3 linked regions of the Drosophila melanogaster genome follow. The gene in region 1 interacts genetically with each later gene. Each region holds a gene or a part of one and is shown on either strand. Other genes may lie near its edges.

Region 1 (7,887 bases):
GAATAGTCTCCATATCCGGAATTGTAATGAGACGAGTATCGGGTTCAGGGCCTTTCTTAACTCCGCATAAGAATCGAATCTTACGCACAAGAAACTGCTCCAGAGCCGCAAAATTCTTTGATTTGTCGAAGCCTGCAACGAAGTGTTTATTAATGGTGATCCGGGCAAAAATTGAATGCGATTATGCGCATACCATTTATATAGCACTTTGTGACATTGACGGCAATTAGCAAATCCTGTGAAATCGGTTTCACGTGTCTCACGGCCACATATTCCGTATTTCCAAAATCGCAGAATAGAATTTTGACCATATTGTCCTTAACCTCCTGGCAGACTCCGCGATACCAGTTCTTATCTTCGCTGTAGATCGCCAGGCACAGTTCACCAACGCTGCAATTGGGATAAAGTGCGTGTTAAGAAAAGGACAAGCAAATATCGAAAGCGCATTACTTTGGTACGTAACCCGGAACAACATTGTGGTCACATGCTCCCTGACTTGATGTCAAGCTAAGGATTTTTTCAAATTCCTTGGCCGCCTTTTCGTCCTTGAAGTAGGCGGCGGTGATGTAGCCAGTTTGCGGCAATCCGTCAGCGTTCATAAGGATTAGGTTGACCTTGTCGCCTAAAGGAGCTAGATTCTTGGGCAAAGCGTCGAAAAGGAAGCGTTTAATGGGCAGAACGTGGGAAGCTGACTTTGTACTTGTCACGTCGGCAGGAAAAGGCGACTCCGGTGGAGAGGGCGGCAGTGGAGGCAGATCCAGCAGAAGTAGAGACTGTGGAGACACCTTCTGCTGTTTGTGAGTTACAACAGGCAATTGACTCGGAGTAGAAGCAGCCTTCGGTGGTGCAACTTCTGCTTTTTCCTGTACCGGTGTAAATATAAGAGGCAACATTTGGGTCGTCAAGGAGCGCGAATCGCCGGAGCTGAACAGCAGGTCCACGGTCGATGTAGTTGCATCTACCATGTTCAATTTTAGCAGTTCTTTTTGGGCGCAGAGCTTGTGCAGCATTTGAATGGCCGCATTGTTAACTGGCACAGCTGCATCCGGAATATTGCAGACATTCTGCAACTGTACACGCATCAGACATACGGGCAAATTCTCCAGGAAGCGACAGGAGCTGCGTATTTCCGCCAACTCCACCTTTTGGGTGGCACCAGTATCAACGTTCATTACTTCGAACAATCCACTATCCTTACTCAATATCTGTAAAATTCGAAAAGTTCATAGACTTTACTGATTGAAACCCTGCAACATAAATATCGACAAACCTCGCCCCGGAAGTGACCCATCTGCTTGGAGACAACGAGCACGATGCTGCCAACGGAAACATCACTAGATTTGGTAATGGTAGCGCACTTGTACTCCAGGCGCTTGAAAATTTCCGCATACTGCTTGGCGTCTGGAGTGCTGATGTATACCTCCTTAAAGCTGACCAAGTGGGAAATGAATACGATGGAATCATGGACGATGGGTTCACGCCAGTACTTGTGGCCTAAATATGAAATCTGACCCAAGAAAGTGATCAGACGGGCCATACATATCTGCTCGCCCTTGGAATTCAAGGCGGCATTCGCCGCGCGTAACTTTTCCTTGGGCGGCTTATTATCCAGCTTAAACTTGACCGTGAGTTCTGCACCTTGAGTCTCAAGCTCCTCGGGTACGGAGTCCTCCAGCTGAGCGGCAAACACTCGACTGGGCAGGCCAAGTAGTTCGCTGGGAATACGACTCAGATCGGTGGCTATGGACACTCTACCCTCGTCCATTTCGTAAACCAAATAGGTTGGCCTCGGTTTCATGATATGATCCAATAGGAAAGCTCGCCGATAACCATTTTTAGTGCGGGTGGCCGCAAAGAAGATGGATTTCTGCTCGGGGAAGGGCAGCGTGAATGGCTGTCTTGGCTTCTCGGCTATGCGGTTGTTTAAGTCTGCGTTGACATGGCCCATCACGTTGATCTGGAGTAGGGCCAGCTGCGGTTCGTTATGCTTTGGATTTGCCTTAAAGACCCGGATGACTTTGACTTCTGGATTAAGCTGCAGCATCTCCAAGGGCAAACTTAGTGGTATTATCATCTTGGGCTTTAGATGGACGTGATAAGCTCCGTCGCTGGTTTTGGTTCCCAACATACGGAGCGTCAAGTTCTTAATGTCCTGAACTCCAGTGTTCGTGGGCAATTGAACACGGAAAGCGAACGCCTTGCTTTCGGCCATCTTGGGCACAATGGTGTAGATATCCCGAAACGGTGTAGCTACTATCTGACCGTGGTCAATCATACGGACATTGGCTTCTTGCTTCTTTTGGCAAACCGTCAAAACATGACCGCGATGGACCTTGTCGCCCACACTGATGGCCACGAGGGTGTCCTCCCGCACTCCTTCCATACGAATCATCTTCTTATTCTGCATGCAGCGCTGCATGTTGACCGTCATTCGCTCAATGGCCTCCACATTCGCCACGTGCACCACCCAAATGGGTCCATCGTTCTCCATGAAAGTCACGCGGCACTTGAAAAACTCCATGCCCGACGGCAGCAAATGTTTGCGCCAGTTTTCCGATAGATCCGGCTTGTTCGGCACAGCAACTGTGGGCTCCACACATGGGATTGGCGATTTAGTGCGAGTTTTAGCCAGAGCAACTTGGTTCTCTACGCTCTGGATTGGATTCAACGCCGGTTGAAGAGGCCGGCACTCCACCAAGGGTCTGGAAACGCATTTGTATTGTATAAGAATTAAAAACCCCTAACTTAATGCACTGCTGCGCAACGGATTTACTAATTTAACTCACGGCATAATGATGCACACCTGCCTGTGCCTCTGCCAATCCAATTTCTGGCACTTTTCATTGCAGTACGGTTCTCCACACCGCTGGCACATCAATCTGGTCGGAGTGCCACAGACGACGCATGTCTTTTCCTCCGACTTTTCCATTTCTTCAATTCAAAGTAACAACGCAAGAACGTGTGAATGAAAGAACGGCGCGTTAAAGGAAACGCAGCAAAATGGCGCTAACAGAACTTTTAGCACGCGATGAAATACAAAGTGAAAATCTATTTACGCTGGACGAGAACTTTCTATGTTTTCGTTTTGAAAAAGGTGGAATCCTTTAGAATTTAAGTGCGCGATTCACAACTCACAAACATGCGATACGTTCACTAAACGCGTTTAAATTCGAAGCTCGCTGGGCACGCGCTTCAGTGCATTGAACGAACGTGGGAAGAAAGAGAACAGGACGATATCGATATCGGTTGGTTTTCGATTTACAGCGCACTGATGGAAGTAAACTTGATCGTTAATTAAAAAAGGAAAAATAAGGCTTACGAAGTTTTTAAACTTTAATTAAAACGACACAACATATGCTAAATATTCTACATATTCCAGTTACAATCAATTTCGCCAAGCCATTTTCATGGAAGTTGAATACTCTTTGAACCTGTTTGAATATATCTGAAAACGCAAATCTACTTTGTGTTATTATTTTGCCAATATAGGCAATATTATTTGAAAATTAACCGCAAGTCCATTGACGACCGCAATTCAGAATAAGAACGTAGCGTAATTTTCCCATCTTCAAATATTGTTTTTCCTAAACTTACCGATTTTAACACTTTTTAGTTTTAAAAACGTTTGTGGTTAATCCGCAAGGAATTTGTGACAGTGAAAAAATAACCGCTTTGTACGCGCACGTGTTGCCAACAAACACTTCAGCTTTTGTCAGTGACTGGATTCTAATTTAAATTTATCGATAACGTATGCAATTCTTATTCGAACAATATAGTTATTTCTAAAAACTGTGTCACGGAATTTCTTTTTGTAATTATTACCTATATAAATATATATTTATACAAATATTTATAACATTTGTGTTTTAATTGTCATGCCCCTTTAGTTTTTTTTACGCTAGAAACTTAGCTACTTCCTAGGTCGAGAGCTGGCCACACTCTTGGCATGTCTTAGTTATCGATAATTCCCGCCACTTCTGAGCATTGAGTATATTTTGCGAACTATTTGTTTACCAATTGAATATTTTGATAATCAGGGCCCCCAGTGAAGTGGCAAGCGTCATGAGTGCCAGCAACAAAGGCGGTTACAAGACGCCGCGGAAGGAGAACCTCATGTCCATTGAGAACCTCACCAATTCGGAGGAGGAATCCGAGGACTTGAACACGGCAATGGTTGGGAATGCAGTGGAATCTCAGCCCAAGGTCACCAGTCGGCGTTCCACCCGACGTCCAAGTCCCACCAAGAAATACCAGGCGTACCAGAAGGAAAGCAATGGAAAAGGCCAGGAAGAGCGAATTGTTGTGAACTATGTGGAAATGTCCGATGAACGGAGCAGCGATGCGGAGGATCAGGAAGAAGAAGAAAGCATCGAGGAGTCGGAAAATGCTGCCCGTCCCGCTGCCAAGGATCTGCATCTCATCCAATCCGAGTACAATGTGGCCGGCACCAGCATGTTTGGCTTCAATACGCCCAAGAAACGCGATGCCATGGCACTGGCCGCCCTAAATGCCACGCCCTGCACGCCCAAGACCCCAAAAACGCCGCGTTTGGGTGTCAAGACGCCGGATACGAAGCGCAAGAAGTCCATGGATCAGCCAAAGACTCCCGCCCATGTGCGCACCCGCGTCAAGAAGCGTGGGTAGCCTTTTTCTGCGTCCTTTTACCATTTTTTCCATTATTTATAAATTCATTATCACTTTCAGAGATTGCCAAAATAGTGGCCGACTCAGATGAGGATTTTTCTGGAGATGAAAGCGATTTCCGGCCCAGTGACGAGGAATCCTCCTCCAGCAGCAGTAGCAGCGATGCTGGCAACTCCTCTGACAACGACGCCGCCGATGATGAGCCCAAAACGCCCAGTAGAGCCCGCCGTGCCATTGTAGTCCCCGTTCTGCCGAAAACTCCATCGGCAGCCCGCCTGCGACAATCGGCGAGGGCGAAAAAATCGAATGAGTTTGTGCCCGAGAGCGATGGTTACTTTCACTCGCATGCCAGCAGCAAGATCCTCACTTCGGATCACACCTTGGATCGCCTAAAGAATCCTCGCCTGGCCGCCGATCGTGTTTTCAGTTTGCTGTCGGAAATCAAGACATCGGCGGAGCATGAGGGTTCTATTAATGCCATTATGGAGGAGTATCGATCGTACTTTCCCAAGTGGATGTGTATTCTGAACGAAGGCTTCAATATACTTCTATATGGATTGGGCTCCAAGCACCAGCTGCTGCAGTCATTCCATCGGGAAGTTTTGCATAAGCAAACGGTATTGGTGGTGAATGGCTTCTTTCCCAGTCTGACCATCAAGGATATGCTGGATAGCATCACAAGCGACATATTAGATGCGGGCATTAGTCCGGCTAATCCACATGAAGCAGTGGATATGATCGAGGAGGAGTTCGCACTGATACCGGAAACACATTTGTTCTTAATCGTCCATAATCTGGATGGAGCCATGCTTCGCAATGTGAAGGCACAGGCGATTCTTTCGCGCCTGGCGCGCATACCGAACATTCATCTACTGGCCTCCATTGATCACATAAATACCCCACTGTGTGAGTGCACCGATGCTTTGAGATCTTTATAGTGCGACAGCAAAACTAATTATTGTTTACGAATTTGCAGTGTGGGACCAGGGAAAGCTGTGCAGCTTCAACTTCTCGTGGTGGGACTGCACAACAATGCTGCCATATACGAACGAAACTGCGTTCGAGAACTCGCTGCTGGTGCAGAATTCCGGCGAATTGGCCCTCTCCTCGATGCGCAGTGTCTTCTCATCGCTAACGACCAATTCGCGTGGCATTTACATGCTGATTGTTAAGTATCAATTGAAGAACAAGGGCAATGCCACATACCAGGGCATGCCGTTCAGGGATCTCTATTCGAGTTGTCGCGAAGCATTTTTGGTCAGCTCAGATCTGGCACTGCGTGCCCAGCTCACCGAGTTCCTCGACCACAAGCTGGTCAAATCGAAACGGAGCGTTGATGGCTCCGAACAGCTAACCATTCCCATTGATGGCGCACTGCTGCAGCAGTTTCTCGAGGAGCAGGAGAAGAAATAGGCCATCGGCGTAATTTTAGAACATATTAATTTATTATCTAATATTGTTAAATACAATTACAATTTCGCTTTTTAAAAATGTTGTGTTGCTGTCACTTGTATTGCCCATGATGAGTGCGCAGTGTTTGTTTTCGCTCTTTTTTATTTTTTTGTCAATTTCTACACATTAAGATTGGCATGCATAAAATTTGTCGCTTTGCTCGAAGATACACATTCTAGGATGGCTAGTTTTTTTCCTCAGCTCCAGTTGCGAGCATATAGCAACACAAAACTTCACAAAGCACTGCAAGTGCTCGACGACTGCGGGGATGAGAGCGCATTTGGATACGATTTTAAGGATCAGAAGAGGCGAACTAAACATAGCTAAGCATGCCAAAAATGATAAGACTCACTACCGCCTGACCATTCCGTGCTCCTCATCCATTCCAAAGGCTAATATCGGTTACCTATTCACTATACAGACACGCACATACACAGATTAAAGCGTTGGACTTGTAACTAGTTAATTGTGCACTCGAAACGAAATGTAATTGCTGCGACTAAGGCTAGTTTATTTACACTTTCTTGATAGCAAATCACATGCGAAGTCAATCGGAAGTACACATACAATGGGGAATCGTTCATGGCTGGCTCCTATTAATATTATTTTGAGTTTATTGCAAAATTCTACCCCTTCCTGAATACCTGAATTGTACACACCGAGTTTGCGATCAGCATTTTTGCATATAAAAATGTCTTATCTCCTGCGCCGCACATTTACTTTTTCTTTAATAGTTAGATAATTGTTATCACGTTTACTTTGCTCGTCCTTTTTTTTAAGCTTCGTTTGTGGGAATGAATGGCAGAATGTGGTTCTGAATCAATCAGAAGAGAAACCACCCAAGAGAATCTCCCCTTTTACAAAATGAATCGATGCAAGAGTGTTGTTGGTTTTTCACTTTTATCGGCTTATTATACACAAATTGCTACTGCTTGCGTTTATTTCGACAATGCTTTGTTTGTTTGTTTTTATAGTTTTGTACAACAAATTAATTACATTTTGCGCTTAACAAAGAGAAACAGGCGTCTGATATTGAAATTTAGATACTTTTAGATACTTAAGAAAAGACGAGGGGAATCGAAAAACAAAAGTTCAGGCATGAATTCAGCGATGAAAAGTAAATTAAAGTTTAGAACTCGGGTAAACAATAAATTTTTACATTCTCCTCAATTTCATGGGGGAGTTCTTCGATTTTGGTGGGTGGTGGGTGCAATTAAACCTTGAATCTGAAAATTTTTTCCGAGTTTACATATACACAATATATAAATCAACTTCATTATCATATCCGTATCATTACTCATTTACTCGTTACTCATTAGTCATACTCATCGAATATACATCACAATCAAAGTGTACGCTTTGTAATTATACGCAGTAATCGGTAATTATAATAGTAATAATAGTAATCATAATAATAATAATAATAATAGTTACGCTTTCTCAGTGAATTTCTTTATTTCTGCTTGTATTTATGCCTTCGATTTTTACTTTTAGTTTTTACTTTACTTTAAATTTAATTTATTTTACTTTCCGTTTTGTTTTTTATGCTCTTTTTTTGTTTGCATTATTTTTTAGGTTTTTTTGTTTTTGTTGTTGTTGTTTCTTCTTTAATTGCTGCTTTTGTTTCAAGTTGTGTTTTGACTTAAGATTAAAATTAATTCATAATTATTACTCGTAAACATATTAATCATAAGGTAATATTAAATCAACAAATAAAATACATTTAAAATCAAGTTTATCAAAGTGAATTAAATTACTTGAAATCGAAACAATAAACGGTACGGCTCGCTA
Region 2 (12,090 bases), about 15 Mb from region 1:
CTGTGTCGTAACGGATTTTTATTTTATTCTCCGCCGTCTGGGCAGCAGTCTTGACCCAGTTAATAGCCTGGTTCGTTCAGCTTTTTGACCTAGGTCAGGTCGCCGAGTTAGTCATATATTTTTCGGCTTTGAACGAGTCAACGAACTGCTTTTCGGCTGTCAAAGTCAGTGCATTAGCGATTGAAGTCGATTAAAGGCTGGCCAACTACCACACAGACAGACAGACACTCCTATCCCCAGGGGCTATATTATCAGATTTTGTCTGGTTTAATTCGCTAAATGGCTCAGCACGCTAATTATAATAATAGATTCAATAAGAGGCCAAAACGTGCGACCTACGAGCTGCAATATTTTTTTTTTTCAAAGGCCGAAGACCAAACGAAAACAGACGACAAACTAACAATGCGATAATCACAATAATTCCAGCCACCAAGTTCATCATGATGATGATGGCGATAATAATAATGGGGACTAACCCCTCCCCAAAAGCACAAAAACGGGGCGGAGTCGCATTTTGTGATAGCTGCGGGCATTTCTTACATTTCAAGGTGAACATTTGGAAATAATTCAACTTGAACTGATGGAATTAGCATTGACATCGCCGCCGACATGCCACGATCGTATATATGTATATATATATCTATCCAGTTACATATATAGGCTTGTTTACGGTGGCGACAGTTTTCGTGCTGAGTTGGCTAAATGTTTTTCCCTCTTTCTGCTTGCTTTTCATTTAATCTCTTTACCTCTCTGTCACGGTTGGCTTCTTGACCTTTTGTGACCCCGTTTAATGGTCAAAAAGCGTATAAAAAAGTGACATTCAAGAAAAACTAAAAATGCTAATAAGTAACGTCTGCTTTCCAAAATAAAAAGTTCAAAAAAGATTTTATGAGACAATATATAATTATTTACACAACAAGTTTGGTTTGGGTTTAGTATGGTATATGCTCTCAACAAACACTTTTTAATTAAAATACCTTTTCTTTTTTCCCAGCTATGGTCTTCTGGGAGCCTCCGGATGTGGCAAGACCACCCTGCTCTCCTGCATCGTTGGACGTCGTTACATGGACGCCGGTGAGATCTTTGTGCTGGGCGGCAAGCCCGGCACTAGGGGATCAGGTGTTCCCGGAAAGCGTGTGGGCTACATGCCCCAGGAGATCGCACTGTACGGAGAGTTCTCCATCCAGGAGACCATGATGTACTTCGGCTGGATCTTCGGCATGGATACCAAGGAGATCCTGGAACGTCTACAGTTCCTGCTCAACTTCCTTGATCTGCCGTCGGAGAAGCGACTGGTGAAGAATCTCAGTGGTGGTCAGCAGCGTCGTGTGAGTTTCGCTGTGGCCTTGATGCACGATCCAGAATTGCTGATCCTGGACGAACCCACCGTGGGTGTGGATCCACTGCTGCGTCAGAGCATCTGGAATCACCTGGTGCACATCACCAAGGCGGGCCAAAAGACGGTCATTATTACCACACATTATATTGAAGAGGCACGACAGGCGCATACGGTGAGCGATTTAGAATTTCAATTTATATATATTTATATTAATAATATAAATATATTCTCAGATCGGTCTGATGCGGTCGGGTCACCTGCTGGCCGAGGAGTCACCCAGCGTCCTGCTCTCCATCTACAAGTGCATCAGCCTGGAGGAGGTATTCCTCAAGCTGTCCCGCATCCAAAGCCAAAAGGGCGATGTGACCCACGTGAACTTCAGGTAAGGATCTAGACTGGCATGCACCACGTGGCTAACCCGACGCAACCACTCTAATCACCACTCTGAACTCTCCACTATGACTCTCCTCCATCCGACACTCGCATGCTCGCAATCTGTGTTCCACCTCCATCTGTTTGTGGTTTTGAACTGGTTTTTCGGGAGTAGTAACAACATCTCGTTGCACGCCATGGCCTTTGGCAGCAAGATGGACAAGCCGAGTTCCAGCCAGGAGGGCGGCGTGGTGGGCCTCAACTTCCACCAGAGCAAGGAGGTGCTCATTAACGACAGCAATGGCTCCATCTACACGGTTCGTTTTGGAATATCCTTGCGATTGCTAGGGTTAATCTTAACATCTATCGCTTGCAACAGCTCAACCAGGAACCCTACAGTCCGCCGCCGTCCCGGCGCAACAATAATCCCAATGATGAGGAGAGCTGCCAGGACTGCTATTCCAACCTGTGCAAGATCACCTCCAAGGGCAAGATTCGCGCCCTGCTCACCAAGAACATGCTCCGCATGTGGCGCAACGTGGGCGTCATGCTCTTCATCTTCGCCCTGCCCGTCATGCAGGTGATCCTTTTCTGCTTGGCCATCGGACGAGATCCTCAGGGCCTTAACCTGGCCATAGTCAACGGAGAGATGAACGACACGGTAAGGGTAAGACACACATTATACACACTTTATGCACATTCCAAGTCTTAGCTTAGTATTCAAGTTAAAACTCAAACTATTGAATACCAAGTGAAATATTTTGATTAAACCACTTTTAAGATTGTTAAAAACTACACAACTATAAAAACGTAACAAAGTTTAAGATGGATTTTATTGGCATTTGATGCCATAAAATATACAATTTGAATAGCACTTAAATATAAGCTTAATTATCATACAACTATAATTAAAGACCAGCTTAACCATTTTAATGATCAAATCACTTGCACTTTAACCAATTAAAATATGATATAATATAAAAATATTTTCAGGAAAACTGCTATTGGGAGGATGGATGCCACTTCAAGAACCTGGGATGTCGTTATCTGAGTCATTTGAATACGAGCGTAGTTAAAACATATTATGAGGACCTGGACGATGCCAAAGAGGCCGTGAGAAAGGGCACAGCTTGGGGGGCGGTCTACATCAGCGAGAACTTCACGGACGCCTTTATTGCCCGAGCTAATTTGGGACGTGACTCCGACGACGAAACGATCGACTCCTCCGAGGTCAAGGTCTGGCTGGACATGTCCAACCAGCAGATCGGCGTCATGCTCAATCGGGACATCCAGTTGGCCTTCAGGGACTTCGCCATGGGCCTTCTCGGCCAGTGCGGCAGCAATCCGAAATTGGGCGACGTGCCCATTCAGTTCAGGGACCCCATCTACGGCACCATGAATCCATCGTTCACCGATTTCGTGGCACCTGGCGTGATCTTGACGTAGGTTTCATAGATATACATTTAATGGGAGAGTCATTAATGCTTTTTTCACATATTTTATAGCATTGTATTCTTCTTGGCTGTCGCTTTGACGTCATCGGCTCTGATCATTGAGCGCACTGAGGTAAGTCGAGAAAATCTATCCTCTTTTGGGAATAATTATAATAAAATTTGCTTACTTCCATTCCAGGGCTTGTTGGATCGCTCCTGGGTGGCTGGCGTCTCGCCCTTCGAGATTCTATTCTCGCACGTGATCACCCAGTTCGTGGTGATGTGCGGACAGACCACTCTGGTGTTGATCTTCATGCTGGTGGTGTTCGGGGTTACCAACAACGGCGACCTATTCTGGGTCATCGTGCTGACCCTGTTGCAGGGCATGTGTGGAATGTGCTTTGGCTTCCTCATCTCCTCGGTGTGCGAGCTGGAGAGGAATGCCATACAGCTGGCGCTGGGCTCCTTCTATCCCACCCTGCTGCTGTCTGGAGTGATCTGGCCGATTGAGGGCATGCCCGTGGTGCTGAGGTGAGTTCTTGTGGTATTACTCTGTTGTGAATGGAAATTTAAAAAATCTTATCCCCCAGATACATATCACTGTGCCTGCCACTAACGCTAGCCACCTCTTCGCTGCGCTCCATCCTCACACGTGGCTGGGCGATACTGGAGTCGGATGTGTACATCGGCTATGTGAGCACGCTGTCCTGGATTGTGGGCTTCCTGGTGCTGACGCTTCTCGTGCTGCGAGCCAAACGCGGCTAGGATCTTCAGATATTACGCTACTTTTAGATGCCTAACTTTAGAACACGATAAGTCGTCCTAATTAGTTTACACCCACTTCGGGTCTTCTTCTTAATTCCACTTTCGAGTTTCACTTCCCTTCGTATCTGCCCAAATGTCATAAATTATTTAAGCACATTCGCAGCTTTCCTTAGCTTTCCACTCGGCACTCGTTTTTCCTTAGACTAAGTTCCGCACTTTCGTAGTTTAAAGCGTAAGGTTTAGGTACTCCTAAATGAAATGTTGTAAATATTTTGTGTCACGAATTCAGTAATCCGTTGCTCTAGATGTCCATTATTTGCAACCCTCTGTACTAGACCTTTTCTCGACGCCGACACGGGCAGTTTATCACATACAAACGCAACTAATTTTATATATTTTCAATGGACTGTGATTGTTTTTTCTACATAATTCACGCGAATACACGTAGGGCAAGCCTAAACAAAAAGAAAACACAATGAAAACGAACAAAAACAATGGTGGGTTTTGTTATTAACATTAAGTAGCTTAAAGCATTTTTGTATGGGTTTAAGTTTTTTAAGGTAAAACATAATTAAATACAATAATGTACGCAACCCTAAAGAGTATGTAAAAATATATTTCAGGAAATATTTTGCGCAGAGCATAAATATTTCACAACGAACAAACATAAGACAATGAACAACGAACAAGTGAAAAACGTTCTTATTTAAGTAAATATTAATGTGAACGCAGTTATGTATAAATAATAATAAAGCGTGAATAAATAAATAAAGTTAAATTTAATTGTTGGTTTACTTACATTTTGAAAAAGATGTTCTCATTTTAACATTGGCGCCAATGCACTGTTACTGTTTTCTAGCATGTCCATAACAGTCTTTTAAATGCAGGAAATAACAACTCATTGTGACCAACTGGCTGGAATTTAATAAATATGTTATCACTTCTAATTTTCTCCAAAACTAAAAAGATAATTTAGCAGGTTAGTTCAAAATTTAAATATTTAACGATAGCTAACTTGAATACCAGGGCTGGTCGCTGGTGTTCCGCTTAAAAGCAGTTGTGCGCTCTGGTAACACTGGCGTTACAGCTGATTGAAATCATAACAAAAGAGCAATGTTTTCCTGTGTTGTTTATGCTTAAAAAGCGATTTTAGGCGTTATTAAGGACGCGAAAATGGACAAATCCAGGTCCAGTGCGTACGACAAGTTCGTTGGCTTCGTGGAACAACTGCGAAATACGGAATGCAGGTGGGACTGAACGGAAATTTGATTGTTTTCGGTTGCATTGAATGTTTTGGGGAGGGGACCGGCAACAGTTTGTTGCTCATTACGGAACAATATTGATTAAATTATGAAGCCCAGGTGATTTCCGGTGGTTTTATTGCCCTTAAGATGAACCTGCCAACTTGTTAGGCCACCCAAAACATTCATTCAACATTGAGCAATAAGTGCATCCGCTATGACGTCATGCCACATACCTGTAATAAAACTAATTTATTTCGAACCCCCCACAGCCAAAAGCAGAAGATCACCTGCTTTCAGCAGATTGCCGAGTGCATCATGTCGCCCTCGCTGGCGGGCCACATCAACTATGCCGCCCACTGCGGCACGGCCACGAATGTTCTGCTGCTGTTCTGCGAGGATGTGGATTCCGTGGTTCGGATGAGCGCCGAGGAAAACCTAAATAAAATACTGAGGTCACTCGAGAAAACCCGGGTCAGTCGCATTCTTATGGATCTGTATGGTGAAATTAAGCGTAATGGTAACCAGAGGTAAGGAGGCAAATATATTAAAGCTAAAATAACAATCTTAAAAAAGAAAAACTTTCTGCACAGATCCCTGAGGATTTGCCTAAACCTTTTCTCCTACTATGCTCCACAAATAAAGGAGAAACACATCAAGTGGTATGCCGTGAGATTGCTCCAATGTATGACCACCATTTCCCAGCGCAAGGAGACGTTGCTCCAGGAGACTCTTTGCGACTTCGTCAAGCACTTTAGCCGCCATATACAACAGGGTCTCAGCGATAGCGAATCCTGCAAACTGTTCGAGGTAGAATAATATCCCTAAACGTCTTTTCTTTTTATGTTTAAGCGTTTGTTGACTTTTGCAGACTTTTCTGGACCAAATTAGCTCCGATTGTGCCGTCAAGCGTCGTTGCTCTGCCCAAAACTGCATGAGTCTGATTGAGAATGCACGCAATAGGAGCCTCATGGCCAGACATGGGGTCAACAAAGTGATGGGTAAGACAGCTTAAATAGGAAATGAATTTCTGAGAGAAATACGAAAAATCCATATGAACACTGCATCCTTACTAGCAACTATAGCAAATGAGAAGTTCGTGAGTGCTGTTATTTACTATTAGAAAAGGAATTTAAATTCAGCAGAATGATACACTTGTTTCAAAACTCTAGGGTCAGCTGTTATTGTTATTTCGCAAAGAGTAACACCATTAAATTTAACAATATTGCAGCCTTAATAACAGCCTCTATTGTTTGTACACTTTTGGATAAACGTATTCACTATTCGCTGCTATCGCTGTTAGTTATTTAACGCATTTTCGCTACGACACTTTGTGTTCAACAGGACGCTCTTTATATTCACATCAATAATGAAAGAGATGTTTAAAAAGCGTGTAACGGCCAAATACTAAGCCTCGCATAGATCGTCATATATATACATATATTGTTAGGTTCGTGCTGGCTCTGCAGCTAAAAAATATTTTTAATATTCTAAAAAGCCGCAAATCCATGAAAAATACCTTACCAAAATGTAAAGCCATCGAACTGCGAACTACGCGAGCGCGGGAATAGATGGTTTTTGGTTTTATTCAAACTCGAATTGTGAATGCAATCACAGCCATGGGTTTGTTTGTCTGTGGCCTGTGGGCGCTAAAGGGGGCGTGGCACAATAAAAGTAACTAGACAGTTGATATAAATTATATTTCTACAGTGCTGTTGGTTACCATGCGCAATCGATGGACGAGCCATCGAATGTACGAATATACACACATATATTTTTTCCAGATTTGTTTTGATTTTAGGCAACGATAGCGGGCAGTTTTTATTTTAACATTTGCTAACTGGCGGACTGCAGCAATAACTGCAGCGGCAAAAACAAAAGTCATGGCAACGTGAGCCATGCGAAAATGCTTAAAAATTGCAAACACAAATCATTTTTTATTGAATTTTCATGAAAATATTATTGGCAAACGTCGACGAAGAGGTAAATGCACCATAGTTACGTTACATTTGCCATCGTCTTTTTATGACCTGCTGCATTGTCCAACAAAAAATTAAGTTCAAACCTCAGAGGAGCTCGGTGTTTGGCATTTGCAAACAATTGAAGTGATATACCGGACTGGGAAAACTAATTCATTTGCTAGGACTACCTTTATGGAAGTCAAAATTCTGACCTCGCCCAAGTTCATATAAATTAAGCTTCGGCTTGACTCTTCCTTTGCTCTTTTCTTGTCCAAATGTTTACCTTCAAATCAACTCCTTTAGCTCCTGTTCCGGTTTCTAGCTCTGCTCCTTTCCCTGCCGCCTACCGGTCTTCTAGTCCTGTGTCAACTTTATGCCACTTCTCGGCAAAGGCACAATGCCAGGCAACTCTTCAGCGCATCCTTATACAGTCTGGCGCCTCTTTTTATGGGCACCCATCATAGTACTTGGGCTGCCTGTGTTCTGGCATGCCCCAACAAACAGACACAAAGTACGGTGCTCAGACCTCAGAACTCAGAGCTCAGAGCCGGGATCCTAGATCCCAGACCCCAGAACACAGACCGCAGAGCCGCCCTCGCCCACGCCATCTCCGTTTGTTTGTCTCCCCGCCCGTAGACGAAATGAAATTTATGCACTTGGACACTTCCATGCAATAATTCATGCGAAATTGAATCAGATATTCATTCCTGTGCAGCTTTAAAGCGGATAATCAACGTTGTAAACAAATGCCGGCCGAACGAGGCCAGCAAAGGAAAGTCGGCAGATGCAAAGGGGAGCTGGCAAAATTTATGTTGCCCACTGACTGATGCCGAGCTAAACAAAAAGTGCAAATTATTTTCCATGGCAACTTGGTATGGCAGCACAAATGGCACAATGACCAATTCATAATCTGAAAACGCTGCTGATCTCTTTGAAAACGTACTCCATGGCCCCCAGATTGTCCACCTGGTCGAGAATGTCAAAGTAATTATTTTCATTTTGACTTCATTTTGGGCTTCTACGTGTATGACAGCTGCAAAATTAATTAATATTCAGCTACAACTGTATATTCGTTTGTGTGTGTTAAAAAATATCGAAACAATTCTTATTTAAATTGTTTGATTTGTAATCAAATAATTGATAACATTTTTCTCTCAAACTTTGGGATTACTTGATTCTGACTGTGCACTTTGCAGTTAGTAGGCCTCAAACTAAACACCTCTATTCGGGTGGCTATTAATTGCAGTCCTCGAACGTGCCCAGCATGAAGTCCCCCGATTCTCTGCTCTTTCCGTTTTGGGCTCGCCAATTTTGCAGAAAGTTCTTGCGGCTTCTGCCGCTATTAATTGATACACATGGAAACAGGCCGCAAGTTGTGCTCGGCAAAGTCACTTGGCTGCCATGAGGGCCATGTAAAAAGTTTCTCCGGCGAAAAGTGTTTTCAATTTTGCGCCCCAAAGGAAGAAAATGAAAACTAATTGAGTAACAAACTTCCAACATGGCGTTTTGTGATTGGTGGCGTATACGTAATGAAACGACAAATAAGCGGAGACAACAAGAGCAAGAACTGCGGGAGGTCGAGGACTGGGTGGTGGGTAGCGGGAAGTATGTGCATGTGTGCAGAGTCTATAAATATCAGATGGAAAGTTTTCAACGAGATAAATTTAATTGGAGGCAATTTGTTGCAAAACATATGAGAGAAAAGTTGCCAAGAACACGAAAGAAGTATGAACTGCAATTGGCCGGCCAAACGCCAAAGAAAGTGGGTAAAGGTATCTGGTACTGGTATTTGTATTGGTATTGGAATTGCTATCTGTAAATGTATCTGTATCAGATGCTCGCGTATTGCTTATTGAGCTAATTGGAATTGCCAGCACACGCTGCGCAAAAAGTTTGAAGAGCGTTTTTAATTTGTATCAACAGCAGCCGTAAGTTTCCCTCCATTAACTAACTTATCCCTATTATTTCTTGCAGAGCTCCTGCTGACGGATCAGCAAGCGAACAGCGTGCTAGGAGCCTTGGGGCTGCTGCGCCTCCTGCTGCCACAGCTTATACGCGGCTACCCCGGCGATAGCCACGAGGATTCCGAGTCCTTGGCCGGCAAGAAGCAGCAACAGCAGCAGACGACGACCTCCGACTGTCGGCAAATTATTGAAATTTATGATTATTGTTTGCACCTGCTGAGCACGCAGCACACCGCGAATCACGCCATCATAAATGCCACCCTGGAGGTCATCAACGGCATACTCCAGGCTGTGGACGCCGCATCCGATGGCCAATGTAGCCAGAGTCTGGGCCAAAGTTTGCGCCAACTGTTGTGCAATCAACAACTGCAGCACAATGAGTATTTGCGGCGAAGGAAATCATTAAAGAATCAAATATTCCAATTGAAAAATTACGAAGTGGCGACAAGTCAACACCAGCTCGAGGATGAGGATGAGAACGAGGATGTGGATGAGCTGGTGGTTGGGGCCACTGCAATGCAAATGAAAAAGAATTCAAATGCAAAACTGCAGCAGGCGAAGTGTCGAGAGCAGCAGCAGCATCAGCATCAGCAGCAACTCGAGGTTGACAACAGCTCGCTGGGAATTAATGCTGGGGAAGATGCCCCGACCGAGGCTCCAAGTTCCGTCGCTGATGAAGGTATGGCAAATAAGGCAGAATGCAAGTCGAGATGGTTTGTGGGTTTGCGTTTGGGAGTGTGTGCGCGCAGTCATGTGGAAATGTGACATGCTGACGGAGGATCAGAGGAACTGGGGGAAAAGACGGGCGTGGCAGGACAGTGAGGGCCGTGAAGACAGACGGGCAGGCGGACGGACGGGCGGACGGAACCAACAGACAGACCATGCCGAAATCAAGAAAATTGAGCAATTGCACAGGCTGATGGAGACGCCCACACACAATGCACATATGAAAATTATTAGTGCATGCTTTTAGGCGGCGGCACATGCAGGAACGAGGTCAGGCCAAATTTGCATTTGCATTTGCCGCCAGCGGAATCCTGCACAAATATTTACACAAATTGTAGGGCTAACCCATACCCGAACTCATGCCCACACCATTTTTGCATTTTCCAGGGGGAGAGCCGGAGTCAACGAAGCTGCGCTGCCACATTAGGAATGCCGCACGCAGCATCAGCGAATGCGTTGCCTCGGATGAGGACAAGCAGGGGCAAGGACACCGGCAGCAGCGGGACGAGGATGGTGTCGTAGTGGCGGAGGATGATGATGATGATGATGATGATGATGACGACGACGACGACATGGAGCTGCTGAGTGCCGAGTGTGATGACTTTACAACCCTGTCGCAACTAAATGAACAACAACAGGCGCTGTCAGCGGCATTGAAATTGCCCACAACAACAGCAGCATCATCAGGCGGAGCAGCAACATCGCAGGACGATAAACTGATTGATGTTGATGCCGATGTTGGGGGGCTGCCTAAACCGCAGCATCAGTCATCTTTGCAGAATCTGCTCGCCGGCAGCGATGACAAATCCCAGCATTTGAGTGACATCGACAATGAATCTTTCAACAGCATCGATTTCGATGCCGAAATCACAATTGCCGGCAGCAAAGAGCAGCAGCAGCAACATCCACCGGCGGATGATTCGGTGGAATCCGGCGATGCAACAGCAATTGGCACATTCTTCAACAATCTGCTGTCGCATTCCAATGCAGGTGAGCCAGCCATAACTGTGATACGATATTCCATTTCGTGCAAATATTTCATTAGCAAAGTTCAAAGTTAGCGGAGCAAGTTCAAAACTATTTCCATTTGATGTTATTGCATTTCACGGTCTACCGCAGTCGCCACCAAATCCCATTTTGCCCACAATTTTGATTTTTGCTTTTGTTTCTTTTTTTCTTTGCGCCAAACAATTGTGCATCTATTTGCAATATTCGGGTGGCATTCGATGGCATTATTTGCATAATTGCGACCGCGCTGCAGACGTGACTCGCAGCCAAGCCAATTGCACTTGCGAATTAATGAAGCGTAATTGTTGCCGGGTTGTCGACTGAAATTAGGCAATTCGTGCACAAGGATCTCGGCTCCTGAAGAAGAAGGATGTAGGATGTAAAGTGCAAGTCTGCGAAGTTATTGATTTTAGTGTATTTCTCATTGAGCTTAAAATTTGACCCAATTAGTATTGTGTTTCTCGTTCTCAGTAGCTCACTTTAGGCTAAGTTGTTACTTAAGTTAATTTAGTTTACACTTTATTATGATACTTATTTCTCTCCGTGCACTTAAGATGCATCTTGTTGTTCACTTCGTTGTCTTCAGTCCAAATGGGCAAACAAAGCTCTGCATCCTCGATTCTAATGCTATTTGCTGACATTTCGATCCCGATTGATACGACAATCAATCGTTGATATAATTTATTTTAATATTTAAATCGCTCGACTGCCTGACTGTGTGGCATCGACTCGGAATAACGAGCACCATAAGTATGCCACACTTTTCCCCTGACCTATAAATGGAAATGAAGGAAGAGCGACGACTGGCAGACATGATGCCAGACCCATGTCCTGTCGTTAGCTAGTGCGCGGGGTGGAGGCTAGTAATAAACAAAGGAAATGTACTGCACTGAGCCGGAAGTACTAATTAAGCGAATGAGTGGTGGGCGGGGCATAGAGAGTCCTGGACGGGAGGGGAATAAAGACAACCAACTGGATGGGCGAAGGACGAGATGGGGTGCGTATAAAAACCCACATCCACTTGACGTAAATGTTGGGCTTAAATCCGGCATTTCTTGTGTGTGTAAGTCTCTGCGAGGGATGCGGATTAAGCTTGAAACATGGCAATGCATTTGCGCTGTGCGATGGCCCCAAAACTCCCTCTGCCCTCACCTCCATCATCCTCCCGCACGCCAACCTCATTGCTGGTTTTCTTGTGCCGCCACTGCCACTTGGCCAAAGCATCACACTGCAAGTTGGCAACAAAGTGGTTAAGACAAATGGGTTACGTGATAAAATGCG
Region 3 (11,440 bases), on another chromosome or scaffold:
ACTTGTCATTCGACCGACAGGAATATGTCACCTGTGCCGTCCCGGCACATCGCATCCCAGACCAAAAATGCCATCCGAAATTCAATCAGCGCACTGGACACGCATATATGTATGTACCACCCTCGTCGATAAATCTCGGTGGTCCGTTCCTAAAAAAAAAAAAACAATCTCGCATAAATTCCTATTTATGGCCCGAACATTTGAACCTTTTTGTGGCAGCCTCCTCATCCCGCTTCCTCCACACAAAACACACAATCAAAAGTCGATTAGCATTCAGGGCAGGACGAGCAGTTCCCACTCCGAATTCGGAGGAGCGAACAACAAGCTGCAAATAGGCAAGCGCAGGTAATCGCATTTCGAGTTCCAGCTACCCATTTTTCCAACCCCCTTCTCTCGTGGCTGAAAATCTGCTGAAGCACAATGAAAATATTTTGCCCTGTTCGCCAGGGGGTGGGAAATGGGCTTGGGTTACGGTGTGTGACAAGTACAAGCCACTTGTGCGTTGATGATAATATTCGAACCATTTTCGGGGGGGCACTGGGAAGTGGAAAGTGGAGCCGGGCCAGAGATATCCCTGAAATCGGCTTATGTCGCCTGTGCCATTGTGCTGACACGGCTGCAGAATTGGAGCTTTTGTCTTACTGTCCAATGGCCACTGGTGTCCTGTCGAGCGTGGGAGAGTCCTGCCCACTCAGGTGATTTATGCTGAGTTTTAATTTAAATGCAATCAATTTGAAATATGTAACCGAAAACTGGTAAAGAAAAAAATGATAAAAAAGGGCTTAAATAGTGAATCAAATTGAAAGGTACTAATATAAAAGAAAGCACGAATCCAATAATTGAAAATATGAACAGAAAATCGAACGTAAAATCACCAGATAAGATTCGACTGATTCAGAGGAAATTTCGAAGAATAAAATCTGAAAAGAATACTTTTAATAGCTTTTTCATAGCATTCGTTTATACAACGTATTAGAGTTTAGAAGCTCCCAATGAGCAGTTTCTTTAATTCCTTTCTGGTGAGTGTCATTCGTTTGAGGAAAACATTATTAGAATCATTAGCAGGAGAGCTTAGGAGCCAAATTCAATTATGTCAAACATCTAGGTGTTATCTAGATGCATTTTCCTTGGCTAATGAGCTGCGCTTACCCGCGGATCCTTATCCGGCAGCCAAGTGGCCAGGACAAAAGCCGCAGAGACGCAAATGAAATCAATTAAAATTTATCACATGCCAGTTGCTTCATTAAGACACAAAGGGAACAAGCAGCAGCGGTGTCCCCAAGGTGCAATTCGTTATCCCATCCAAGGACAATGGCGGTCAGGATGCGGCTGCCTTGTAATTTGTCCTGCCACCAACTTCCACCGGCAAACACAGGCAGACAGTTGTTGTTATCGGCTTAAGGAAGACAATAAAACGGCGTCGCCGTTTGTCGCTTTAAATAATAAAAACATTTGATTTGCCAACTCTGGCACGTGGCCAGGACTACCGAAGTCAGTGGATTTATCCCTGGACTGGCTGAGAATGCGCAAGCAAATCGCAGATAAAGCCAACGCGTAAATTAATGGTCGCCACGTGTCACTTGCTACTCCGGGACCGAATCGACTTGGCTCAGATCGCTTGGGATTGAATTGAATGGCCGGACACGCTGGGTGGTCCAAGGCCTGCTACAACTACACCATGTGTGGGAGCAGCTTATGGCCAGCAAATTATCGCCTCCTTGCGATGGCGAGTGGTGACCCCCAGTGTTTGCTTTGCGGCTGATAATTGAGGCGTAAATGTCGGCACACGTCCGGACTCCAGAGCGCCGACCGTCCGGGGCTTAAGTTGATACATTGATACATTGTTGTCATATATTCACAGTGGAGTTTATGGAGCGGATTTATATACGCAGTTTCAGCTTCGTTTACTCATTCCACCCACAAAGTGCACTTTGCCGCGTGTTTTAGGACTGCACACAATGTTGATGATAACCCTATCAAATTTTGAATGCCGACAGCAGCTATAAGGATGCAGCTCATTGTTGAGTTCGTAAAAAGTTAATAAACCCTCCAAGTATCAATGGTTGCAAACAAAAGAATGGGTTCATAAACAAAGGCGAGCTTTTGATTTTCCAGTTGACGTTGTGGTTTCAAAGCAAAAGCCACGCAAAACCTTTGACCATATGCGCTAAAAATATTGCCATATTCATGCCCTCGAAGGGTTTTTAAAATGGTATTATATATGCATGTTACATACGAGGTAATAAATCGAAATGCTCTATATTAAGATATAGAGTAAACGCCACACGAATTTTTAAAAAAATTACATCAAATACAAGTTGGGTTTTATGATTTCCTGCTAATATCAATAAAAATAACTTTTACCATTACGGAAATTGTACATGTGCTTTACTATGAGTAGTTTTAGATTATTAATGTTTTATTTATTTGAATAGCCAGCTTGTATTTATGCTTGTAACAGGACTCCATTGGAAAAATCACACAATTATTTCCATACTCCATCGAAAGGGTATCAGCGAAGAACGATTATAGCCACCCCAGTTTGAAATATTTTGCCGAATCAAAATCACACCACCAAGTCGAGGATTACCGGATGGATTTCCAGGGGACGCTTGGCATATGGCCACTTGGCAACACCGAGGAATCAGTCGAACAAAGCCCAGAGACGGGTTAACAATTGTCAAATAACCACAGGACATGCACATGAGTGCATCGCCGTTTGATTGCCAAGCATGTGTGTGTGTGCAAAAGGATAACCTAAGGTGGGATATGATGGCCAGTTGCTTTGATCCTTGATTGGACCAGGCCCACTTGGGGCGCAGCTGGTCGAGTGATTGATGGCCAAGACACAGATTCACGGATTCCGCATCAGCGATTGCTTTAATCGAGTCCCAAAGTCTGGTGGGCGGGGATCAAGCTGAGCTCCAAATTAAATGGTGTCAACTTTGCGGGGAGAATGCCATAAAAACCGATGACCATAACAGATAAAATGTTTTCTTTTTTATGTTATTGCGGCCAAGTTGCAGAGCAACCGCAAAACAATATTTAAATTTCAAAAGTTGCCAATGTTACCAGTTAAATGAAGCAGAAGCAAGATTGCTGTCGCACAGCAAGCATTTTGAATCTGCCTTTCTGCATTGAGGAGCTGGAGAGAAACCATGTATACAGAGGAATATAAATGTTCAACACTCGAAGGGATAAAATGAAAATATAGTTAGCACCCAAGGCTGACCACGCCCACCAAATCGAATTGACACTCATGGTGGACACATTTTGGAAATTGATCCCAGGGACGTGCGGCATACAACTAGCCAAGTTGCACTCATAAATCATAAATCAATAGGAGAGCAAAACGCTTCGAGCCGTTCGGCAGGAGGAAAAAAAAACCTCCCCACTTCCACATCCTACCCGGCTAATGATGTCTTAAAAAAACGATTCGGCAACTGGTCATGTGACAGCAAATGGGGGCCATCGATGTCCTCAGGTCAAACGCATTATCAAAATTGCCGTTTCAGCTGCCGAGGAGTTGCGCGCCAGCCTGGGAAATTGAATTTCCACGACCCTAAGTGGCCGGCATCGGGCAGAGTAACAATATTTTTCCAAATCGGCTTTAAGTCATGAAAAGTAATAGACAACCCCCGGTCGCCGTAAAAAGCAGATTGCGAGGCGCGTCAGCCGCACAGCCAGGAGACGATTGTGGAACACATGCTGTGCGCATATGATGACTGACGACGGTGATGATGAGACTGGGCCGCTTATCACGAGGGAACAGCCACACGCACTGGGTGCCGAAAAATGTTTCGAGCTGGCGGGCCAAGCAACATGTGAGGTCGCAGTGAGCTAAGCTCCCGAAAGAAGTTTATATCCAAATTGTTAAATTGATGGTATTCTTTCTAAATATAGGCTTGCAGTTGTTTAAAACAAAAAAAAAATTGCCCAAATAGCCCGAAATCCAAAGAGTAATCGACATATGTAATTAAATAATTATTCAAACTTACGTTAAGGTTAACTATATCATAACTACTCCAATTCGTCCGGTATCTCCGAGTCCTCAATCGTTCGCGTCGCTGGTATATACACTTTGAATGCGAACTTGGACTTGACAAAGGAGCCGGTATTGAGAACAGTGCAGCCATGTTGACTGCTGCTAAAGCTCTGACACGAATCGCCCATGACAATCAGATCCGGCAGTGGATACAACCACAGAGCAGGATCGTAGTCCCAGTGCACTGGCATGGCAATCGGATGAATGGGCACCAAATGACCCTGGCACACAATCGTTCTGGCAAAATGCTGCTCGATCTGGGACGTGTCTTCAGGAAAATGCAAGGTGTTGCGACAAAACTTGGCCATCAAATCCAGACGGCAGACCACAATCTGCTGGGTGCAGTACTGCAGGCGACACGGATTCGTAGCCAACTGGGTGCGTGGCCAGGCCTTTAGCAGCCCGGCTGCCAGGCATTCGGGAATTGGAGCACGGGGCAGAATATTAGGTGCCGTGGGATCTTCGGACGAGGGAACGAGTATCAGATCCGTTTGCTTCTTCAGCTGCTCGCAGCCAGCTGCCAAGCCACCCAATGCATCCAGGTGATGCCTCAGTTCATGATGATTCCTTGTGCTGGCCGTGAAGGGACCCATGAGCACTATAGCCTGCGGCGGACAGGAATCATAGCCCACGAACAACTGGCGCAGCTTCTCCATGACAACCGGCAGATCCAACCGAACGTCGGAAAGGAAAACAATGGTTGTTTCCGTGTTGGTACGCTCCAGTTCCTGTAGTCCGGCTGAGTACTTCAGCAGCTTAGCAGATTCACCGCCCCAAGTGTTGGCGGTGCCGAAAAATGCTCGACTGCTGTTTGCCGGTTCCGCAGGTGGAAAGCCCAGGCCATCAACTGGGGAAACATAAGAAACTCTTGAGATGTAGTTATTAAATACTTTGGGCTACTTACCCTTGAGCACACCGTTGTTATAGTTGCCCTCGGCTAAAACAAAGCAGCCCTCGCAGAAGAAGCCGGCATGGAAACGGGCTCCAGTGAGATCTAACTGGACGCAACCCGTGGGATCCTCGACATAGAACTTGCCCTCTTTAAGCTGGGTAAGTAGCCCCAAAACAACTGCCTCCTTCATCGCCGACGTGGCCAGCAGGTTCTCCGCGAACTGGAGCTTAAATTTCTTGGCCTGGGCCTCGGCCCCAACGCCATCCTGTATGACGGCTGGGGCAAAGAGATCGTGTCGCAGAGTTTTCTGTAGTAACATGGCATATCGTTGCTGCATGTAGTCCGATTTCATGCGCGGGGCGGTCAGCAACTGGCGCGGCTGAGTGTCCAGTTCGAATTTCTTTATCCGCTGGTTGTACCGAAAACGGGGCACCGTAAAGGCATCGATCAGGGCAAAGACCGTCTCCCCTTCATCCAATCCCACCCGGTTAAGTTCATTGATGGCCTTCTCCAGGGCGGCTCGCTCCACATGAGGCGTCAAAAGCTTTTGGCTTTGGAGATTCTCGGTGATCACCGTCAGCCATTTGTCCCGTTCCGCTGCGTCAAAGGGTAGCAGCTGCTCCGCCAGGTAGGAACTGTTCTCCGAGCGGATCAGGAATCCACATAGCTTGAAGGTGTTTGTTATTCGCTTTCTCAGCGGCAGTAAATCCACATCCATTGTTATTAAAAGTTTTTTCGCGCGCAAATTAGATATGGATGTTGTCAATTATCGATATCTATGTGCATTTGTGTGACCAGCCGAACATGAAGCTAAAATAGAAGGCCTAGAAAGTAATCGAAAATTGGCGGAAAAAAGTGGAGTTCAAAAAGTTGATATTTGAATGGTTTATTCAAAATAACATATATTTAACTATTTAAGGTTCAAAAAGAGGGCTTTAAAGAAGTTGGCTTTTGTTTAGTACATATTTATAATATTAAATGTCGAAATGCCCCCCAGAGATTGTGAAAAGTATGAGAACTTCTTGCTGTTCATTGGGGACTTTGGCCCCTTTCAGAAGCGACTGCTGTTTTGGATGATGCCCGCCGCCTTTCTGTTCGCATTCACCTACTTTGGTCAGATATTTATGATACTGTTGCCAAAGAATCACTGGTGCAGAGTACGAGAACTAGAGGGACTGCCGGAAAGTGAACAAAAGAATCGGGGAATCCCCAAAAAGCAAGATGGCAGTTTCGAGAATTGTTTTATGTACAATGTGCCCTACGACTCAAATGCGACCAACGATGCGAATCAGACAAGGAGCCCGATACCTTGCAACAATGGTTGGATCTATGATCGCAAGGAGGTGCCCTACGAGTCCATCGCTACCGAGTACAATTGGGTGTGCGACAAAAGGGATTTCGGGACATATAGCGTCGTTGTCTACTTTGTGGGCTGTATTGTTGGTTGCCTCTGCTTTGGATTCATAACCGATCATTCCGGTCGCTTGCCTGCACTATTTCTGGCCAACTCCTGTTCCATGATCGGCGGTTGCGTAAGTGTGGTCTGCAAGGACTTTCCCTGCTTTGCTGCCAGCCGATTTGTGGCTGGACTGTCAATGAACTACTGCTTCGTTCCCATTTATATTCTAAGTGAGTGTTGCAGAGTCAATTAACATAAATCATAAATTTAAATATCATCATCACATTCTTTTCAACAGCTTTGGAGAACGTTGGCATCAAGTATCGCACACTGGTGGGGAACTTAGCCCTCACATTCTTCTTCACCTTGGGCGCCTGCTTGCTTCCCTGGCTGGCCTATGTCATCAGTAATTGGAGGCACTATGCCATGGTCGTTGCCCTGCCAATTGTATTCATGATATTGACCAGCTTGCTGGCTCCAGAGTCACCAAGGTAAATTAATGATAACAATAGGTTTTCAAGCTATCTAAACTTCATTTCCCACTGCAGTTGGCTTATGTCGGTGGGTAAAGTGGACCGGTGTATTGAAGTCATGAAAGAAGCGGCCAAAGCCAATGGAAAAATCATTTCCGAAGAGGTTTGGTCCGAGATGCGGGAATGCTATGAACTTAAATTTGCCAACGAGCAATTGGGAAAGCAGTACACCAGTCTGGATCTCTTTAAGACATTTCCCAGGCTCGTCGTCTTAACGATTTTGATTGTCACATGGATGACTGTGGCCCTAGCATACGATGCCCATGTTCGCGTAGTCGAAATCCTGGACACAGATATATTTATAACCTTTTCCCTTTCCTCGCTCGTTGAAATTCCTGCTGGAATCGTACCAATGCTTTTGCTAGATCGAATTGGTCGCAAGCCCATGATGTCGGCTGTCATGCTATTGTGTGCAGCATCCAGTCTCTTCGTTGGTATTCTAAAAGGACATTGGAATGCATCAACGGCAGCGATTGCAGCCAGATTTTTCGCCACAATGGCCTACAATGTGGGTCAACAGTGGGCCTCTGAGATACTGCCAACCGTGCTGCGCGGTCAGGGACTGGCTATTATCAATATTATGGGTCAGATGGGTGCCCTACTCTCACCACTTGTACTCAGCACCCACCGCTACTATCGTCCCTTGCCCATGTTTATTATCACATTGGTGTCCGTGATAGGCGCTTTAATAATCTTGTTTCTGCCGGAGACCAAGGGAGCTACGATGCCACAAACGTTGGACGAGGCGGAAAAGCGCTGGACGTTACGTTGTAGAGATCGTAAAATAAACGAGGATCTTTAAAAAATTAATTTAAAAACTTATTTTGAAATGGCGCCGATAGACTGATAAGTATATAGCCAAGTTTCCCTGCAAGGTTTGAGTCTTCGGTGCGAGTTTGGTACATTTATTTAGTATTTTTTAGCCTATTCGTTAAATCTAGTGCATGGTCACAGTTGTCAGCACGTGGAATTGAATTTTGCTGTTTATACGCTAATTCCCTGAAAATGGATGTTGTTAAAGAAGTTCTGGCCAAACACCAAAAGGAATTGGACAAATACAAGCCGATCACAGTAGAAAAGCATTTGGAATGCCGACTCGACGTTGGCAGCCTGCTGATCACAGATCCCAACGATTTCGATGACCGGGAATTGAGGTAAGCGGCGGTTTCTAGCGAGGAATACTGATTTTTCACCAGTTCCATTGTTTTTAGGGACAACAAAGAGGAGTACCTGACCGCACTGACACGGGAGAACACCCAACTTTTGGTCAATGCCATTTGGGAGTTGCCCACCGAACGGGTAGACGAGAGCATTGTGGCCAAGCTGCCGGAACCCACGACGGTACTGCCCCGCCTCCGTAAGCCGCCAGGTCCACGTCCGCTCACCAAATGGGAGAAGTTCGCCAAGGAGAAGGGTATCAGCAAGAAGAAGAAGGACAAGAAGACCTACGATGAGACCATGGATGCAAGTTTTTGCTCTTTAATCTTGTCAAGTCACAATCTAAACCTTGAATCTTTATAGAAATGGGTGCCTACATATGGTTTTAAGCGTGCCGAGGCCGAGAAGGCCAAGGATTGGGTGCTGGAGGTGCCACAGAACGCCGATCCCAATACGGACATGTTCCAGAAGAAGATCGACCTGCGCAACGAGAAGGTGGCCAAGAATGAGATCCAGCGGATGAAGAACATTGTGCGCGCCAAGAAGATCGACATGCCACGCAGCGGTTACTTGGGACCCGAGGCTGCCTCATCCAGCCAGTTGTTAACGGCCGTCACTGTGGCCAAATCCTCCACAGCCTCAGTCGGCAAATTCCAAAACAAACTGCCCAAGGAGAAGGAGGCACGTGGTCTGGGCATTAAAGAGCTGATTCCCGGCGGCAAACGCAAGCAGTCGCATATCACACAAACGCCGGAGAAGGAGGCCAACCTGGATCTCATCAAGAGCGTGCTGAACAAGAAGCCCAAACTGGACGTGAGCAAGGCGGTATCGATGGAGAAGCGCGACAATCGCTTGGCGTAAGTTTAACCTTTATCGTTAAATGAGCATAGTCTAAAGCTTAAACCTTTATTTCCTCAACAGACGCGAAGCAGAGGCTGAGAATGAACCAGGCAAGAAGGGCGGCAAGAAGCCCAAGGGCAAGGGCAGTCGCAAGGCGGTGGGCAAGAAGTCCAAGGGCAATCGTGGTCAAAGGGCTCCGGGCAAGAAGGCGCAAGCCGGTCGCAAACGTCGCTAGGAAGAATTACACATGCCTTAGGACACTTTAATTAACGAAAAACACTTTACACTTATGCTTAATAAATCTTAGCCATAAGACAAAACATAAACTATGTTCGGTAAAAACGCAAATTCACTGGTGACGTGTGCCGCTTAAGGTATTGATAAACGAAATTACGGAAAACACGGTTGAAATTGCGTATGGAAGGCCAGTGCAGATTGGCGGCATTGTCCCGAGGCGTGTGCCAGACGTCTGGGAAAGGAGTGGCTACCAAATGCAGCACAGGAACATCTGTATGGAAAACGTCTGTGATTATGGATACACACTAAAGACATCAAACTTACTCTCATCTAAAAACGGTCGATGATCATCGTCGACTAGACCACCGCTGACACGACTTAAAAACATATTGTTATTGCCCTCCAGCTGGCCGGCAGTGCGCAGAGATTTCTCAATCTGCACGAGACTGGAGTGCAGTCCGTCGGTGTTTTCATAAAAACTGGAGAACTTGGGATTCCGCGCCCCAATTAGATCCAGCAGCACCAGAACTTCCTGTTATTGATACAATCTTAGCAAGCTGATAATTCTCGCAAAGGTCATTGACTTACAATTCGATCTATATTGCGTGGAGCTAGTTGCGCCTGGGAACCACTGCGTTTGCTAGCCAACTTCGCGGCCAGATGCTTTGATCCGTATACAGAGTCCGCATCGGTCCACTCCTTAAAGGCCTCCTCGCCATCGAAGAATATGAGCTGGTGGATAAGAAGGTTGGATTTTCAATAACTATAGGAAAAATTCTCTACTAGATCTTATTAACATAAATCAACTTTTTCAATGTAATACTAATGTCGTATGCCTAATTTCAAATGGAGATTTGAATACCAAACATGCAACTTGTTTTCGCTCAGGTTTGGTATAACTGGAGTTCATGGAAAATTTATTTAGCCACCAAGGTCTGTGTTAATGGGCACTAAGTAAGCAACTTACCATAAGTCCCACATCGCTGCGATTGCGAAACTCTTTCTGCAGATACGCGCCCAAGGTCTTGGCGGTGTTCAACAGAATGGCACAGGGCACGGCGGAGTCAGTGGCGCCCACAAAGCCGGGATCATTGGGGAAGTACTTGCTGTCGTAGTGGCAGGCCAGAGCGAGAAAGTTCTGAGCCTGGGGATTGATTGTGCCCACTACGTTGGCAAACGTGAGTTCGCCGAAAACTGGAACTCTCTGCTTGAACTCATCCACTTCCGTTTGGAAGCCAAGGCCGTTCAGCGATTGGACCAGGTACTCGCGCACCTGTTTGAAATGTTAATATTATAACGCCAAGTAATACACTTGAAGCTTTATCACCCACCTGCTGATGTCCCCGACTGCCAACGACGCGTGGCACCAAAATGGAGTCCAGGGTGCGGTTGAAATGGACCTCATCGTCGCGCCACTGGGATCCAATCTGGAATATAGATGGGTCTCTCTGGTTAACCTAACAATGCCTGGTTTCCCAAGTGAGTCACAATGCTTGGGGTACTTACGTTTCCCGCTGTCGCTTGCTGATGCGACGGCGGGAGGAGGAGGAGCAGCAAGCCTGCGGCGGCAAAAACTACGGAACCGATCGCCATCTATACGCTTCAGAGCTCGGCGACGCACTAAAGCCCGATCGGTGGCTGAAAAATCGATCTTTACCGTAGTTGATGTTGTGGTTTCCGATGCTGATGGCTTTTGTTTTCGTTTTCCGCTGCCTCTTTGGCGGCAAACTCACTTCGAAAGCTTTGAACCTTCGTTCAAGAGAGTTTTTAAGAGTGAATCATGTTGATGTTGCGGTAAATGCAAAAAGCTTTAAAGCCGCGTTCGTTGGGGAAAAGTGAGCCGACTAATTGGTGCTGATAACGATAATTACCTTAATTACATTAGTGTACGTTTAGTGACTATGCACTTAAAGTCTAGAATGAACACTAAGTTTAAAATGTCTCATACTAAACCAAAGTTTTCATTCGAAAGTTATTTTAGGTGTATAATATACATTTTGGGAATTAGTCACTTTTTAATGCTATATATGTTTTATAAAAAATGTAATCTAATTGAATTTAGTCATCATAAAAATCATAATTTATTGCAAAAGCTTGTCGCCATTTCATAAAGTATTGCCACTTTTCATAGAAATCATGCACAAAACAGCGAATAATTTTGATCATATTGCGAATGGTAGGATAGTGTAGATTCTCGACATTGTCCGCTGGCGTATAAAGAACATTTGGAAATTCATGTGGACTCACATGAATGACTGGCACATCTATAGATGAACAAATACACGTTATAAAATAGTAGTATAAAATTAACTATGATATTACCTTGTTCGTCGAAT

Evidence for each region.
Region 2: of Orc2 (region 1) and htt, changing one suppresses a phenotype caused by changing the other (phenotypic suppression), as found in Drosophila melanogaster (one study listed by BioGRID).
Region 3: of Orc2 (region 1) and PolE2, changing one enhances a phenotype caused by changing the other (phenotypic enhancement), as found in Drosophila melanogaster (one study listed by BioGRID).

The regions. Positions count from the first base shown.
Region 1 is NT_033777.3:13,960,946-13,968,832, forward strand, and holds Orc2 (origin recognition complex subunit 2), read left to right. Parts: upstream 1-3,939; 5' UTR 3,940-3,988; intron 3,989-4,046; 5' UTR 4,047-4,062; coding exon 4,063-4,636; intron 4,637-4,704; coding exon 4,705-5,550; intron 5,551-5,620; coding exon 5,621-6,057; 3' UTR 6,058-6,130; downstream 6,131-7,887. Other genes in the region: Kots (kotsubu), read right to left, coding at 1-132, 194-390, 451-1,205, 1,271-2,702, 2,787-2,929. UniProt on the Drosophila melanogaster protein: Component of the origin recognition complex (ORC) that binds origins of replication. DNA-binding is ATP-dependent, however specific DNA sequences that define origins of replication have not been identified so far.
Region 2 is NT_033777.3:28,691,250-28,703,339, forward strand, and holds the start of htt (huntingtin), read left to right. Parts: upstream 1-4,992; 5' UTR 4,993-5,082; coding exon 5,083-5,156; intron 5,157-5,422; coding exon 5,423-5,680; intron 5,681-5,743; coding exon 5,744-5,960; intron 5,961-6,021; coding exon 6,022-6,151; intron 6,152-9,085; coding exon 9,086-9,754; intron 9,755-10,188; coding exon 10,189-10,791; intron 10,792-12,090. Other genes in the region: snu (snustorr), read left to right, coding at 995-1,511, 1,573-1,721, 1,887-2,028, 2,091-2,378, 2,705-3,153, 3,217-3,277, 3,344-3,675, 3,735-3,909.
Region 3 is NT_037436.4:5,891,725-5,903,164, forward strand, and holds PolE2 (DNA polymerase epsilon subunit 2), read right to left. Parts: upstream 5,712-11,440; 5' UTR 5,656-5,711; coding exon 4,950-5,655; intron 4,893-4,949; coding exon 4,021-4,892; 3' UTR 3,967-4,020; downstream 1-3,966. Other genes in the region: CG5592 (uncharacterized protein), read left to right, coding at 5,924-6,566, 6,635-6,827, 6,885-7,671; CG32409 (uncharacterized protein), read left to right, coding at 7,875-8,023, 8,081-8,333, 8,391-8,884, 8,949-9,102; QC (glutaminyl cyclase), read right to left, coding at 9,194-9,375, 9,429-9,636, 9,693-9,836, 10,072-10,377, 10,436-10,531, 10,611-10,697; CG32413 (uncharacterized protein), read right to left, coding at 11,163-11,368, 11,427-11,440. UniProt on the Drosophila melanogaster protein: Accessory component of the DNA polymerase epsilon complex. Participates in DNA repair and in chromosomal DNA replication. Has a role in the entrance and progression through S phase. Has a role in endoreplication. Essential for viability and tissue development.